5 linked regions of the Bombyx mori genome follow. The protein of the gene in region 5 binds, or shares a complex with, the protein of the main gene of each other region. Links are inferred from orthologs where the notes say so. Each region holds a gene or a part of one and is shown on either strand. Other genes may lie near its edges.

Evidence for each region.
Region 1: U4/U6 small nuclear ribonucleoprotein Prp4 (region 5) and U6 snRNA-associated Sm-like protein LSm4 share a complex: the UniProt entries of both Homo sapiens proteins name them as parts of the precatalytic spliceosome. The link is inferred for Bombyx mori from reciprocal best matches to the Homo sapiens genes PRPF4 and LSM4.
Region 2: U4/U6 small nuclear ribonucleoprotein Prp4 (region 5) and U6 snRNA-associated Sm-like protein LSm2 share a complex: the UniProt entries of both Homo sapiens proteins name them as parts of the precatalytic spliceosome. The link is inferred for Bombyx mori from reciprocal best matches to the Homo sapiens genes PRPF4 and LSM2.
Region 3: U4/U6 small nuclear ribonucleoprotein Prp4 (region 5) and small nuclear ribonucleoprotein G share a complex: the UniProt entries of both Homo sapiens proteins name them as parts of the U4/U6-U5 tri-snRNP complex. The link is inferred for Bombyx mori from reciprocal best matches to the Homo sapiens genes PRPF4 and SNRPG.
Region 4: U4/U6 small nuclear ribonucleoprotein Prp4 (region 5) and U5 small nuclear ribonucleoprotein 200 kDa helicase share a complex: the UniProt entries of both Homo sapiens proteins name them as parts of the U4/U6-U5 tri-snRNP complex. The link is inferred for Bombyx mori from reciprocal best matches to the Homo sapiens genes PRPF4 and SNRNP200.

Annotation. Positions count from the first base shown.
Region 1 is NC_085117.1:3,992,249-3,994,793, forward strand, and holds U6 snRNA-associated Sm-like protein LSm4, read left to right. Parts: upstream 1-1,219; 5' UTR 1,220-1,586; coding exon 1,587-2,006; 3' UTR 2,007-2,045; downstream 2,046-2,545. UniProt on the Homo sapiens protein: Plays a role in pre-mRNA splicing as component of the U4/U6-U5 tri-snRNP complex that is involved in spliceosome assembly, and as component of the precatalytic spliceosome (spliceosome B complex).
Region 2 is NC_085129.1:20,029,942-20,032,275, forward strand, and holds U6 snRNA-associated Sm-like protein LSm2, read right to left. Parts: upstream 942-2,334; 5' UTR 869-941; coding exon 581-868; 3' UTR 501-580; downstream 1-500. Other genes in the region: protein suppressor of forked, read left to right, coding at 1,770-1,799. UniProt on the Homo sapiens protein: Plays a role in pre-mRNA splicing as component of the U4/U6-U5 tri-snRNP complex that is involved in spliceosome assembly, and as component of the precatalytic spliceosome (spliceosome B complex).
Region 3 is NC_085133.1:8,591,043-8,595,143, forward strand, and holds the start of small nuclear ribonucleoprotein G, read right to left. Parts: upstream 2,801-4,101; 5' UTR 2,653-2,800; intron 2,379-2,652; exon of another isoform or gene 1,995-2,378; coding exon of another isoform or gene 1-1,994. Other genes in the region: uncharacterized protein LOC134201547, read left to right, coding at 1-1,994. UniProt on the Homo sapiens protein: Plays a role in pre-mRNA splicing as a core component of the spliceosomal U1, U2, U4 and U5 small nuclear ribonucleoproteins (snRNPs), the building blocks of the spliceosome.
Region 4 is NC_085130.1:11,180,194-11,184,313, reverse strand, and holds the start of U5 small nuclear ribonucleoprotein 200 kDa helicase, read right to left. Parts: upstream 2,801-4,120; 5' UTR 2,548-2,800; coding exon 2,503-2,547; intron 2,099-2,502; coding exon 1,935-2,098; intron 1,481-1,934; coding exon 1,282-1,480; intron 1,012-1,281; coding exon 900-1,011; intron 509-899; coding exon 381-508; intron 1-380. UniProt on the Homo sapiens protein: Catalyzes the ATP-dependent unwinding of U4/U6 RNA duplices, an essential step in the assembly of a catalytically active spliceosome. Plays a role in pre-mRNA splicing as a core component of precatalytic, catalytic and postcatalytic spliceosomal complexes.
Region 5 is NC_085130.1:18,536,635-18,540,134, forward strand, and holds part of U4/U6 small nuclear ribonucleoprotein Prp4, read right to left. Parts: exon of another isoform or gene 3,131-3,500; coding exon 3,001-3,130; exon of another isoform or gene 2,423-3,000; coding exon 2,304-2,422; exon of another isoform or gene 1,678-2,303; coding exon 1,547-1,677; exon of another isoform or gene 1,538-1,546; coding exon of another isoform or gene 1,533-1,537; intron 211-1,532; coding exon 126-210; intron 1-125. UniProt on the Homo sapiens protein: Plays a role in pre-mRNA splicing as component of the U4/U6-U5 tri-snRNP complex that is involved in spliceosome assembly, and as component of the precatalytic spliceosome (spliceosome B complex).

The DNA.
Region 1 (2,545 bases), on a different chromosome or scaffold from region 5:
TTAATTATTTTATTGAATATCACGTCATAGTATTTTACCATTATACTTTTTCTCGCTCTGATGACCAGATTTGAAGATACAAAAGTAACGCTTACAGGTGTAAGTGTAAACTCAAAAAATGTAGGTACTGGGTAATGTATTATTTATCAAATATACTAAACTAATTGATCGTAATAAGCGATTAAGAATCTGATTTTCAAAAACCGTAACCGATTTTTAACCGTAATTAAATCAAGAATTAATAAACTTAACTAATTAATAAAGAGAAAAACTAAAATTTGGAACACGAGGTCTCCTTGGAATATTATAATTGTACAGAAATAGTTTCAAACTTACGTTAGACTCAAAACAAGAAATCTATTCCTAATTTCTCACTGAAGGGCTTGAACTTATTATCTTTTTACCTATTTAATTGATTTTCGTGTGAATATGAAAATTATTCTACCGACCGGCTAACAATTGAAAACATTTTTTTTCACAGGATTGACAATTGACAGCTGACCGACAAATTAAAGGCATTGAACTCTGTTTTTTTTTTCAAATTTAGGATATTTTCTAAGGGATTTTATGACCTAGTAACTAAAACTTTTAGGTCAAATCTTATTTTAATTTATTTAATTCTTATTTTTACGAAAAATGATAATATAGAGTGAAATGAAATGAAGATGAAATGAAGTGAGATGAAATTAAATGAAATGAGATGAGATGATGTAGGATGAAATATAATCTCAGTAAAATGGTGGACATTTACTAAGACTTTTCAATTGGCTCTTTGGACGATCCCAACAAGCTACGTCTAGCGGATTTGTTTCAATTTCCCACACTTGTGCACTTTCACAGATATTATACAGTTAAACCTGAAGAAACAATAAATAGACAAAATAAAACAAATCACACAACTTCACTCCCCGCGTTCCCGCCAAAAAGTAAAAATTTATGATAATTTTGACAGCTCACAGTAAGGATGCTAAAGTCATTGACTTTGGATTATCGAACATAGATTTATTCTCATGGAACTAGAAATTGATAGTTGCATGGACAGTAAGCTGTATGGTCAAATTAAAACAAAAAAAGTTACATTACATTTAACTATTAAGTTCAGCAACAAAACCCTTCAACACCAGTTTCGATACGTTCTTTTTTTTCATCATTTATCCTATTGAATGCAATTTTTGTAGACGGGTTCACCTTTAGAATAAATTGAAACCAGGAATGAGATTTCTAATTATTTATTACTAATACAATGGTGTGCAACGTAAATTGTTTTATTATTATTCATCATCATCACAAGATTCACTACTACTAGAACTGTCCCTTAACTCTCCAGTTGGACTCGTCTACTTGTAAATTCTTGTTCACAAACTTCATTACATTACCATTGAAGCAATTTTCACTTCTTCTCAAATATTAAGTGTATTATCTGTGCGTCTTCTGACAACTGAGCACTGTCAGTGTCAACCTAAAGTCCTAAAGTAACCTAAAAAAACAAGAAGTTGACAATACACCAAACAACGCGAAAGTAGGAAAATAAACTTCTAATACAAATAAATAATAAACTTCAAAACGAAGTTGATCATTACATCAAAATGTTGCCGCTATCTTTGTTACGGACAGCGCAGAACCACCCTATGCTTGTCGAATTGAAAAATGGCGAAACTTACAATGGTCATCTCGTAAGCTGCGATAATTGGATGAACATTAATTTACGTGAAGTTATTTGCACGTCGAGAGACGGCGACAAGTTCTGGAGGATGCCGGAATGTTATATACGTGGTAGTACGATCAAATACTTGAGAATACCGGACGAGGTCATCGACATGGTGAAGGAGGAGACACAGGTTAAAGCGCGCGGTCGTAACGAGGTTTCCAAGGGACGCGGGCAAAACATGAGGACCGGTGGCCGTGGTGGTAGCCGAGGCGCATTCGGTAACCGCGGCAGAGCACCTCCACTAGCCCGTGGCGGCGGGAACCCGCGACCACAGAACAAAAATAAAAATAAAATGTAAGATAAGTTTTTTAATAAATTAAGTTATTTGGCTAAGGAATAGTTTTGTTTCATTTAAAGTTCAAAATTCCTCCATACATGCTGGTGCAAAGCAACCATATATTTGACCAAATCCAAGATTATTTATTAGTCATAATCCTGATGTAGAATTCATTGAAAATCAATAATATCTAAATAATTTGGAAACTGCAGATGCACAGGTAGTTATGAATTCATCAATCCATTAATATAAAATATTTAAGCTACCCATATCTCTGTTAAATCTAAAATGGGATACAACTTTATTATTTCTTGATATTTTAAGAAAATACATTTTTTTGTTTTATATCTTTAATTGGTTTTCACACTATTCAATTCGTGTCAATATATAAAAAAAATCAAAGTATACTGAAATCATTTATTTACAAAAAACGCTTAAAGTAATAATACTATTGTATAATATGGCAATACCCATTAATGAAATGGTAAAAAACAGAGTAAAAAAAAACAGTGTAAAAGCAATATTTTAATGATGATCCTTGAAACTTGATACAGATAGAG
Region 2 (2,334 bases), on a different chromosome or scaffold from region 5:
CTGGCTAAATTTGGTCTTGAATTATTCGTGAAGTCCAGAGAAGGTTTAAAAGGTTCAGGTTTCAGGAAGGTTCAGTGTTTGGCAAGCAACATATTTTAATGATGCTTTTACAATCCCTTCTGCCTATGGAAAACTATGACATGGCCATCTTCAGAAAAAGTATATCTTAAAAATCCAAAATAACAGCTTTGTAAATATTTACATCCAAATTATGTACACTAGAGATCTAAATCAATTCTGGTTTGAAAAAAGGCTTAAGTATTAAGGAATGCAGCTATGTCTAATAATTATCAGTATAGTTTGATGTGAAAGGTAATAAAAACTTTTTTCTGTGATACATTTTTGAGAATGGTAAAAATATAGATGTTTTTTATTGATAAATTATTCTTTCATACTCTGGTATAAAACTTACATAAAACTGAAGAACTAGGTTATTTTTCGATCAAAGGAAACTTTCTTTTCTGAAATGAATATCCGGAGACCGCTACTAAAACACTATATTATAAGAATGATTTATTAAGAAACTTAAGCTTATATTAATATGTACACTTTAAATTGAAGTTGTAGGTTAGGTTAAGTTCTATCTTGTTGAAACGGTCGCCTCCTTTCTAGCGGCATCCTGGAGAAGCTGGGTGTCTACCTCATCAGCCGGCAGTTGTACGTATCGAACCACGGAGCCTCTTATAAAACAATTTTTCACTGATAACATATGAGGATACTTTTCAGAGTCAATCACGCTTATATCCGAAAGCTTTATATTGAGATATTGATCCACAGAATGCAACGTCCCACATATGCTGAGGTCATTTTTCAGCTCGACGACTACATCCTTACCGACTAACGATTTGAAAAACGAGTAAAACAACATTTTTCGTTTTGTTTGTTTGAAAACGCGCTGAAACAGTAATTTGGCTTGGGTTCTTCAATTAATGTCATTTAAAACTCAAAGTCAAAATCATAAAATGTCAATGCCAATAGCTTTTTGTAGCGGTGTGAATCGGTATTTTCCGTAATTTTGTTAGTTTTGTGCAGGAGCACCATCTCATTTCCAATGTCTTGCATTTACTACGTTTTCGTTACCTGTGCTTAAATTTTTAAAACAAATCGGGACTTTTTGGCGGGAACGTAAGGAGTGAAGCTGTGTGATTTATTTTATTTTGTCTATTTAGTGTTTCTTCAGGCTTAAATGTAATAATGTAATCTAATTTAATGTGATAATGGTGGTTTATTGACTGTTTAATATCTGTGAAAGTGTACAAATGTGGGTAAATGAAATAAAGCCGCTGGACATAGCTTCTCGAGATCCTCCAAAAAGTCCACTGAAAAAATCTCAGTCAATGACCACCATTTTACTGAGAATATGTCATCTCATATCATCTCATCTCATCTAATTTAATTTAATTTCATCGCAGTTGATTAATATCTAAAATTAATCATCTTCATTTCATGTCATTTCACTACATAATTGTAACATTTTTCATAAAAATAAGAATATTAATTAAAATAAGACATGACTTAAAGATCTTAATTACCAGGTCATAAAATTCCTTAAAGCGAAATGTATAATCTATAGCGTCCGCTAATCCCGTTTGAGCTTGGTTGAGTTGTTTAATTTTTTAAAGAAAATTGTGTTTTTTTATTGTTTTAAATCGATTTTAACACTGAGAGTAATGTGTCCACAAACAATCAGTACCTCATTTACTTAGTTCTTCGAAAAACTGTTGCTCGGACTTAAAACCAGATAGATAACCTCAAACGTAAACTTCAAAATGGCATCTGTAGATGAAATCGCCGACATTGTGAGTTTTTACGCATTAGTCGCATTAATTGAATATAATTAAAAACTAAAAGAACAAAGGTTTTCTTTTTTGATTTGATATTCCTGAATGTTGTGTAATTCGTTTATATAAGTGCATGTATTAGCAATCGATTGTTGTGTAGTTCTAAACAAGATAGTCATTTAGAAAAAAAAAAGAGGATCCTTAGTTTTATAGATACCGAAAACACGAGAGAGTTGTGACTGCGCTCCAAAACCGGAAGCCATTAAGTAACATTGACTTCGACCTGTAGTAACGTAAACTAATAATCAACCACTAAACCAACATTACAAGCGATTACACTGGAACCAGCTGTCTGCTAAGATCATTACAATTTCTCAAGAAAAAACCAAATTGTAGTACCTAGATCCTATATAATTACTCTAATCCATATTTTAAAAACGCCAATTAGCTGTTTAGCCTCTTACTGGTGGTAGGACCTCTTGAGAGTCCGCGCGGGTAGCTACCACCACCCTGCTTATTTCTGCCGTGAAGCAGTAATGCGTTTCGGTTTGAA
Region 3 (4,101 bases), on a different chromosome or scaffold from region 5:
AACGCTGGACTATTAAAAATAAAATATCAGCATTAGCCATCTTCAAGCGTTCACCAAAAGCTTACCGATATCTGCGATATCTCGCACCATTTCCGAGTATCAAAACATTGCAAAAATTAATGAAAAAAATACCTGTTGAGCCAGGTTTAAATACAGCTGTACTTGACCACCTGAAAAAACTAGCTCCCATTAAAAAAATAAGAGCAAAATTATGTTCGCTAGTCTTTGATGAAATAGCGTTAAAAGAAAGGTTAACTTATAGCGAAGCCACAGATAAAGTGGAAGGGTTTATCGATTATGGATATGAGAGGAAAGATGAGCTAGCAAATCATGCCTTAGTCTTCATGTTACAAGGTATTGGGAGAAAAATTAAACAACCGCTGGCATTCTATTTCATAAGAGGCACAGTATCTTCAGAAAAATTAGCAGTTTTAATAAAAGATATAATTAAAGAAATTACTAACTCGGGATTTCAAGTTTTATCAACAATATGTGATCAAGCGCCCACCAATATGGGAGCATTAAGTCTGTTAAAGGAGTGGAACAATGGTGGACATAATTATTTTGAATTTGAAAATAAAAAAATTTATATAATTTATGATATTCCACATTTATTAAAATCACTGAGAAATAACTTTTTAAAACAAGGATTTCTGAAAATGGGAGAATTGAAAGGTCAATGGAGCCATTTAGTTGAGGTAGAGGAACGAAATAGAAATTTTTTATATCTTAGCAAACTCAAATCAACTCATGTACAACCAAAGTACAGAGCTAAAATGAAAGTTAAGTATGCCGCACAAATATTTAGCCAAACAGTGGCTGCTGTTCTTAAATTATTAGCTACGAATGTGGAAAATGTACACCGATCAGATGAAATATTACAGACTGCTTTGTTAATTGAAAAATTCAATAAACTTTTTGATTATACAAATGGGCCATCAGGACATGCTGACGTAAAAAAAGGTATACGGGAAAACGTATCTGCTAAAACTGACCATTTAGCTGTTTGGACAGAATATAGAAAGCAACTGTCTACTTTAACATTTTTCAACCATAATGGCGTGGAAGCAAAAAATGTAAAGTGTGTTCAAGGCTACATTATATCATTAAAATCGCTGCGTGATATTTGGCTGGAAGTTCAGGATTTAGGATATAAGTATTTGAATCTACGGCAGTTAAACCAGGATGCATTAGAAAATTTATTTGGGTTAATAAGACAGCATGGTCAAACAAACAAGCATCCGACGTGTTCTACATTTATAGCAGCTATGAAAACCTCTATAATATCAGGACTTACCGCCCCTCACAGCAAAAACTCCAATTGTGAAGAAGACAAAAAGGAACTCATGACGGATTTTCATGATTTAGTTTTTGGGTTTAAAGACGAAGATGATCAAGGTCAAGATATTAATGAGTCTCCTAGTCATGTTTCCACAGAAAATGAAAATGAGGAAGACAACCCGGTTCTCAGTATACCTGAAGAAGAAGAATATAAAGAAATAGTATGTGACCTAGCAAAAATTTCAAATCAACCAGTGGTCTATATAAGTGGATATCTAGCTTCTGTTATTCTAAAAAAAAATGATTGCCAGGTCTGTAGAGAAACTTTGACAGTTGCAGATCCAGAGGAAAATAAGATTTATGATTTAATTAAATTAAGGGAGTGGTGGCAAGATAAGAAATGTTTGACATATCCATCATTGCAGTTGTGTCAAACTGTACACACTGCGGTTACAAATTTTGAACAGTTTTGTATCCCTAACCTACATAATAACAATATTTGCCAGTGGACAATTACTATATTTTATTCAAATTGTAATACAGAGTGGCTATGCATTAATCATCGTCAACAAATGTCAGACTTATTGTTTACAAAATTGGCTCTAATGCTGATTCGGCGACAGTGCCAGATAATTAATTTAAAGCAAGTTTCAAAGGAAGAGGATTTGGCGGACGCGAACAAAAGGGGTCAACAATATGGTGTTTCAAGATAATTACATAATTAGTTTTTATTTGTTTTTTGTAGAAAGAAGTTAACTTCGGGTTTGAGTTCAAAAAAAGTATACATTTAGAGATTTAGAACTTTATTTTTTTACTATTATAAAATAGAAGTTTTTAAAAATTTACTCTTCAAATGGAAATAGAAACGAATTGTTTTTTATTTAGCACAAAAATTTTCAAAACCTAGTTCGTTATAACATTATAAAACAAGGTTGAAAACCTCTACATGTATACTTATTGTACCTTGCATAAAATTAAGTAAATATTGGTTTATATTGTAAAATAAAAATTAAACATTTCCGATACAAACTTAAAATTTTTTGTAAGCGTTAAAATTCTACTTACAAATTTCATTAAAATTATACTAAGTAATAAAACATTGTTTTATTTCTTTTAAAATAATAAAGTTTTTATTTCAATATGCAATCCTTGCCTGCATTCGATATCGACAAAAATATCGATAATATTCGCATCATTATTTATTGGACATCGATATTAATGCCCATCACTATTTTTGACAGTGGTAGGATTTTTGTAGTCTGTGGTTGTTTTAATGTTGTCACCAGATCGGATCTGATCCCATACATTTTCATTTTGTAACGTTTACTATGAAGTGCGGACTCTTATAACGTAGTGATTATATACTCTTTGGAATTTTGTCAATGAATTTAACTTTTCTACTATATTCTACCGTCTGAGACAGTGCTGCCACTTCCAAAATTAAATAAGAACCTTTGACACGGCGATATTACGATTATAATTTTGGAAATTATAGATCTTGGACATCAACAATATCAGAGGTACGTACGGTCAAGCTACTGCCTATTGCAGAGTTCTTCTTAAGCCTTGTCAGAAACTTGACAGCTTTGATCGAGCTACTTTTTCCCGGCCATAATAAATCTACGTTATTTATGGTAGTAATATGGTCCTCATAACTTGCTGAAAGAGATTTTAGCATGAGTTTTACGATCGGCCGTCTGTCTGACATGAATCTTTCTTGGGCTAGTAGTATATCCATGGCAGCGTACCATGGGAGGATACATTATAATTTAGATTTTTAAATACAAAATATCACGTTTTATGAAATTTTATGAATTTGCATAAGAATATCATAATGCATCATTCATACGAAACATAAAAACAGAAGCTTAAAAGGACACTCAGAACAAATAGAAAAAGAAGCATCTAGTGGGGTGCTAGATTGTTGGGGTGTTTGATGGTCTTTGGCAAAAATGTCTGAAAATATAATATTATAGATGATCACAATGGTTGCGTTTGTAAAGATAAACTCATCAAGCCTTCCAACGTAACTTCTGGCAGTAGCCAATAGAAAAAAACAAAAATAAGGCAATTACTGGCTGCTAGGGAAAATACATAAATAAATCTATTCTAGCACTGTACAGAATTCTAATGATTGTGAACTCAGGGTCTATCTGGTTGCTGCTCTAGTTGGTGGGTTCTGAATTCATAAATTTAACAAACGCTTTCGTGCACCGACTCTTAGAGTATCTAGGTTACCCCTTTGTTCAAAATGTTTTACTTCCATCCGTCCGTGCTACTTTATACAGTCCTAGATCACAAATAAACGCAGTTTATGGTATAACAATCCAAAAAAATATGAATCACTGTGGTTGTATTAATGTATACCATCATTTATAAGCTTAAGCTATTAGGCATGCCTAACCGCTAACCGCTTGCCAAAACCGAATTATAAAAAATATTAAAAACTCCGTAAAGTAAAAACAAGACCGAACCAACAGATAAAGTAAAAAGTTTTACAAAAAGACTGTTAATATACGTCTATACAGTATATCATACATTTTAATGTATTTAAGCATCGTACGAATGTCATCGATTTAAAATCGAAAAACATCGATCCATTAAACGAATTTAAGTAATTTTTTGCCAATTAATATTTAATAAAACTTAATAAAAATATTTATATCTGTGCTTCTATTTTATTAATAATGCACTGCAAGAAGCTACTTCAATGGTGGTGAAAACTCATATTTATTTCGTAATATGCAAACCTTTATTTTTATACTAACAAAAACATAAATATTGTAAGTTGGCAACTTGAAGTCAAATTTCGTTTAGAAA
Region 4 (4,120 bases), about 7.4 Mb from region 5:
GGGCGGTGGTACCTACCCGTGCGGACTCATATGAGGTCCTACCACCAATAAGACATTAAAATACACAAGTTGATTACTCTAATTAATACAAAATTTAGAAACTATATGCACTTTTAACAAAAAGTCAGGATTGTGCACTTTTAAAAGTGTATTGAAGGCAACTTTTTGCTTGTATAATGTCTGGAAAAGTCCACATGTGCAGGAGAACTGTCACAAAAGTTAACATTCCTGTTCTGGCTCTTACGTAGCAGCATTCTACATGAGAACAAATCTGCAGCACCAAACAAGGGTGTGTGGCGTCAACTACAGTATTTTAGAATTTAATCTTCCTACGTTATACAAGTGCATATAATTTCTATTATATATCTAAATAGTATTACCTCCCCATATGCATCTTCATCATCTTCCTCAGAGGACTCTTCAAACTGCACATTGATGCCGTATGTCTCGTCTATTTCGGTGTTGCTCTCTGTTGCCGTGGTCATGTTGAAGTCTGTTATTTTCTTGCCTGTCAAGGTTAGGAATTAGTTTTATTACCAGAGATGCATTATGGGACAGTTCAATAATACAATTAGTAAGCAGTGAATATAATTAAATAGAGTAGAAGTCATTTGAACCACTTCACTATTGTGTACAGTTTGTTAATGTTTTTCTTTTTAAAGAAGATAACTATGTTATAGCATTGTCGTAACTTTTAAGGTTTAAACCTTATCACTATAGCACTGTTAATAGCCTTTTCGAGTATTCATTAGAAGAAACGGAACTTTAGTCTTTCTAGTCTAGCTACTGTTACCTTAAATTCATCTCCAATACAAACATTATCTCGTCAATACTTCTAATTTCATTTTACCCCATATCTAGAAGACTATTCTAGGTCCACTTTTTAGTATAGTACTTACCTAAATTGACAAGTAAAGCAAATCTCTCGTCTGGTATGGAACCGAGGAGCATCTCAATTTCCTTCTTCTTCTCTGGATCTTTCAATTTATCGTTCTTTAGAACTAAGAGTACCTGTAATAGTAAATTAGTTTATTGCTGATAAGATATATTGTGAACCCTCCTGAGTATGAGTCACTATCCCGCTTTAGGAGCAAAGCTATTATAAGTTCAGGTTCGAAAGTCGTGGTGGTGGAAGAAGTTAATCTATGAGTCATTGAGAGGTGTCTTCATTACCCAATATTTTTTACTACTACAATTATTATATTATAGTAAATAATAACATTAGTATCCATATCGTTTACAATTTTCTATGATATAGGAGGATATATAATATTGTCTCACCTCATCACAAGCGCCGCATAATATATCCCTTGGCTGGTCTCCGAGAGAGCTCTGCATGAACGCAAGCAGTAGTTCATAGGTATGTCTAGTGTGTTGGGCTCTGGGACGGTATAGAACGCCTGGAGCATCATCAGCCCAAGCCACACGACTGGATTTTGATTTAGAGAGTTCGTAGGAGGCTTCATCACGTTTTTGACGCCTATAAAAATATTGGTATTGCAATCACATTATTTAATTTATTGATATGCAGATATTATCTAGAATATAAATTTAAGTCTTATCATCACTGTTACTGATTAAACATACTGAATTTAAGTCCAATAATATGGACTTTTACAGCAGAATTTCACATTTTCAAGACAAAATGCAAATTATTCTGTTCATAATTCTGTGTTGCCATCCTATGTATTTGTGCTGTAAAAATATAATTCATTGAAACCTAACTGAGAAATATTAATGTTAAAGTAGGAGGCGGCATACATAATGTGACGTCTATTGATGCCGATAACCGTTACCACCAAGTGTATTTATTATAAGTTTCTATTCTATTTACTGTTAAATGAACTGTAAATAGAACAGAAGGCAATAAATAGAAGGGATTCTTTTAAAACAAAATGAGCCCCAACAAGACCCTTTCGTTCAATGAAACATACTTAGCCTTTCTCTCCTCAGCTTTATCTGGTTTAGTGCGTTGAGCTCGATCACCCATCTTAGTTCCTGTGAGCTTTCCAGACAGCGACAAAACTTCACCGGTCGCTTCATCTCGACCACGTCTCTCTATTAACCTTACATCAGCTTGCAGTACAAGATTCGAGTTCTGCGAGAAAAAATTGTTGGTTCAGACTTATGGTGCAACATCTCAGATACATACAGTATTTGAAGGAATTAAATCTGTATTTTCTTAAAGTTGATTGCTCGGGAACTATAGGACATGTTTAGAATGTATCATTCGTATGTATTGTATGAATTTTTATGTATCGTCATAACCTACATTTTATCATTTGTCGCATTTATTTGTTATTGTCTACAGCGTTATAGTGACAACACAAGTACTTGCTGTTATTTAAGCATGGAAATTTTGGTCTTAGGCTACAAGTTTTGACAATATACTAAAAAATCAATATATTATTGACTGGTCAAATGCTTAATTAGTAGGGTTTCTCCAATTCTAAGTTCTCAAACATTCCAATTTTAAAAAAATATATTTTGAACGACACTTACGGCCTTGTACTCATACTGCAGCTGTCTGGCAGCCGCGTCAGCCATGCTTCACTATATACAAGAATGTAGCTTTACTCTTGTTATTTGACAAAAAATGCAGGAAGGTATTTTAAATTCGAAATTACAATTTAAAATAACACAGTTTAAGGTTAGACCGCCGCAGCCATTTTTACTTTATGTGTATAATCTATGGCTCTATGCTCGTAAATATTTCGTGTATCTGTGCTGTGATTTTCATTACGTTACCGGAGACTTTTTGGCGGGAACGCGAGGAGTGAAGTTGTGTGATTTGTTTTATTTTGTCTATTTAGTGTTTCTTCAGGTTTAAATGTGTAATAATGGTGGTTTATTAACTGTTTAATATCTGTGAAAGTGCACAAATGTGGGAAAATGAAACAAAGCTGCTGGACGTAACTTCTCGGGTTCCTCCAAAAAGTCCATTGAAAAAATCTCAGTAAATGACCACCATTTTACTGCGATTATATTTCATCCCATATCATCTCATTTCATTAAATTTCATCCCAGTTGATTAATGTCTCAAATTAATCATCTTCATTTCATTTCACTCCATTTTATCATTTTTCATAAAATTAAGAAAATAAAGTAAAATAAGACATGACTTAAAGGTCTTAGTTACCAGGTCATAAAATCTCTTAAAAAAAAAAACGTTACCGGAATCGAAACTAGCTTGATAGACATTGAATCGATATCAGCTGGTGGTCAATTCAAATATTAAATGTTTGTTAATTAAGTAACTGTCACTCAATTGTTTTGTATATAATTTTATACCTACCATAGATTTTTACAAATACCATGCGATTATAAAGTGAGTAATGAGTAGAGTACCGTACATATTTATTGTCTATAGTAATTTTTCCATTAATATTTATCTTCTGAATGTTGGTATCTCCTTATTTCTAAAACTGTCAATGGAAATTCATCCTTGGGTTGTGATGATTCGTAAAGTTTAATGAACTTTAAAAACAAATCATACTATACTACATTGTTCTCAAATTATTACGTAACAGATTAAAATGGTTTAAGAATTAATGAATGAAGGAAGAATCATGCTTTTGCGGTGCACATGTCTCTTTAGGTTTATGAAATATCTTTATACGTGTACTGAATATTACAAAAAGAAAAAATGCACACAAAGATATACTAAGTTCAAGTAACTGATTTGTAACACTTATTAAGTTTGTGGGTAAATACTGCAACTGCTTTTCCAAGCGGATTCTACCTTATGATTAGGTAAACGATGACCCTGAGTTTTTCTGACAATTTAAAAACAAAAAAATTAAATATGAAAAACTGTTCTAAACTCAAACCCGTTCATTCTTTATTAGGTCTGTTTTTTCGAAATGATAAAAATTGAATTTATTAATACAAGGATCGAAAACACATCATTAGTATAGTCTGTATAGGAATTTAATATATTTAATTTTGACTTTGAATAGGCGATTAAAACGCCTGTCTACCGAGCAATATCTTCCCTCCCGAAGATCTTCCCTTCGCCTCAAACGTAGATAAAAATCTAGTACAATGACAACACCAAATTAGAAATTAAAGGATAAAAACTGTTATAATTATGAAGTTCGTATTGTTACATAAATAAAAT
Region 5 (3,500 bases):
GATCTACTTCAATTATCAGATGTACAAGAAAGAACGAGCTTATGTCTGGTTGTCGCAGGAGGTCAGACCCCCCTCCCCCCACCACAAACAGAACCCGGTCGATCCCCCCGGCCCCCCGCACTCACCCGGTGACGGCCAGGGACCCGTCGCACTGGAAAGCTATACTATAGACCGGCTTAGCGTGACCCTCCTGGTGCAATACTTCGGTCGCTATAAAAAACAAAAGCATTTTATAATTAGCTCCTTTGTTTAAGGGATTTTATGATCTGGTAACTAAGACCTTTAGGTCATGTCTTATTTTAATTGATATTCTTATTTTTATGAACATTTTTAAATGGAGTGAAATGAAATGAGATGATATGGGATGAAATATAAGCACAGCAAAATGGTGGTCATTTACTAAAAAAAATTCAGTGGACTTTTTGGAGGATCCCGAGAAGTTACGTCCAACAGGCTTTGTTTCATTTTCCCACATTTGTGCACTTTCACAGCTGATACTAAACAGTTAATAAACCACCGTTATCACACATTTAAATCTGAACAAACACTAAATAGACAAAATAAAACAAATCACACAACTTCACTCCTCGCGTTCCCGCCAAAAACCCATAGATAATAAAAACACTTAATTAGTTATAGATAAGCAACTCAAGCACTCGACAAAAATGTTTACGGGCGTCGGCCACTAGATGGCTTCGGCTCCATTAGTTTCTCATTGCTCCTGTAGATGGCAGTAACATACTACCTATCCTATATTTTATTTTTTATGAAGTATTTTGTAAATAAATCTATAACAAATAAAGACTTGTATGATTTACTATAATTTTTTATTTTCAATGTTTAGTTCTACAATAATTAAATGCCATATCTTTAACAACATACAAGTTTAGGGGCATCCGCTACAAGATGTCGTTAGTTTCCATACAAAAAAAAACCTCATATTTTTTTGATTGCCATAGCAAGCAGCACACGACCCACTTGGTGGTGAGTGGTCATTGTTTTCCATGGACAGCAGCAATGCTGGGAACACAGCCAAGTAACGCAGTATACAATTTTAACTCCCATTCAAATCATAGTTAAATTGTCTGGCAAGTTTATTAAAATGTATTAAGACTATATTTGTGTGTATCAGCTTAGATCAGCGGTCGGGGAACTTTTTTAATTATTACCCCAAAATATTTTTGTGTAAGTTGATATTACCCCATGGCGAGGAACAAAAAATAACGAAATGCCTTCTTTTTAGCATCTTTTATATTATAGCCCCCATGATAATTTGAAATCGCAACGATTCTAAAGAAGTTTCACTTCAATATATACTTTTTACTCACAAAAGTTTAATTTTTAACCCCCCAAATTTCATTTTACCCCATTCGGGGTAATTTACCCCGGTTCCCCGACCGCTGGCTTATATGGCTATGGAGGTTCATGGGACGCCAGTGGACGAAATTGGCCACACCCTGGGAACCTTCGAGACCAAATTAGAGTTACGTAAGAGTGGGATCCTCTCGTTAAACCAGCTGTAAAAATTACAGGATAGGATGCCTACCTGTCTCCAAGTCCCACAGCCTCCAGGAGTGATCGAAGACCGTCGTCGCGAGGAACCGCCCCGAGGGGTGGAACTCTGCCCGGGACACGCGGTGCGGACTGTGTCCCGGCAACGACGCCATGGGGGATTCGCTGGCGAACAAGCACTCATTATCACTCAATCCTGTCCCCCAGTGGAGGGAGCTTCGGGGACACTGATACGGTCGTCCTGTCACACCGGGACGTTTGATGGAACCTTGACGGAGTGAGGCATGACGGTGATTCCCCACAAGACACCTTATCACCAATCGAGGTGCTACCCAAATTCCGATTTCGGACAGAAAAATCATTGGCAAATATTATTTTTCTCCTACCGACGCCCAAAGTTCGGTTTTCCTCCCGCTGAACAGGAAAGAAAGTGTAAATTTTTCGCCCCTGGGTACTGACAAGTGCGCATGCGCGTTAGTGTCTACGTCTGCTCTCACGCACCTAAAGCTCTCCGCCATTGTTGGGCTCGGGTAATTTGCAATATTGTGTTTAGTGTAAAAGTGATATAAACAAAAGGCAATAAAATTTAATAGTGAATTATTAAAAAAAGATAAGTTCATCAGACAGTTCTTATTCAATTAGTAGTAGTTTATTTAAAAATTAAAAGCATTTAAATTGTTTTTTTTTTCCTAATATCGATGTTTTTAATGAGCGATGTTTCAGTCCGATAGCTTGGTAATCCTAGATATTTGGTATCAGAGGTTTGTCGGGGGGTCCGCAGCCGCACGTACCTCGCAAAGTTCCACAGGTGGACGGTACCGTCGTACGCGCACGAAGCCATCGTGCAAACGGCAGACTTGTCGTCGTCCGAGCCGTCCGCCTCCATCGCGTCCCCATTAGTTACGTTCACCTGCGAAGTTAACGTTTGCTGGATTTTTTTTTCTATTCACTTTTACCCGGCAAAGGGAACGAGGCCCGTACAGCCGTATCTGTTTCATGTCAAGCGCGATAAAGTTGGATGCCACCTATTATTAAAATGGTGAGAATTTATTGAGACTTTAATACTCTTCGGAGGAACCCCGTCAGTCAAGTCAGACCAGTTCACATCATGTCTCTCCACTCTTGTGAACTTTGCACAGATCCTAAACTAATGCTGCCTCTTCACAGACAGCCACTATCGCACCGCGTACGGAAACCCTAAGTTACCAAAATAAGCAATAAAATTCACATGACTTAGATTCGACATAATATAGTCGTTATTAATTCTTCAGTTTCACAGCTAAATTAGCAACACTCTATAACAGGCATCAAAAATTTCACTTGCATCGTCATTAACAATGTTATGACCAAAGTTCATTCATAGCGCTCTGCTTTCATTTTTATCGTCACAGAAGTTAAACTTCTGTCACGTATACTACACTCGTACTAAGGATAACTCCAATGACGTTTACCTTATCCAATCCAAGAGAAGTTAAACTTCCCACTCACCTTTTGCCGGAAATGCGAGGGCAGTTCCGCCTTCGGGTGGAAGGTCGCGCTGCTCACGTTGCAAGTGTGGCCCTTGAGCACCTGCAGGGGGGCGCAGTCCGGCACCGACCAGACCTTAACCAGCCCTGACCTGCAAGGGCAAAATACATGTCGAGGAAGGATGAAAGTTTGTTGCACATGAAAGGATGTTTGGTTTAAGTGACATTTTAGCAACTTTACAGGGGAGCCCTTTACTGGTGGTAGGACCTCTTGTAAGTCCCGCGCGGGTAGGTACTACCAAATAAATAGGCTAGCGTGGTGTGGACATGTGAGGCATGGAGAGAAGATGCATGTGACTAGGAGATGTATGGAAATGGTAGTGCAACGTAGAGGGGGAAGAGGTCGACCGAAGAAGACATGGATGGAGTGTGTGAATGACGATATGAGAGAGAGAGGAAACAGTGTTGAGATGACGGCTGATAGAAGAGAATGGAATAGGAAAATTCGCTGTGCCAACCCCA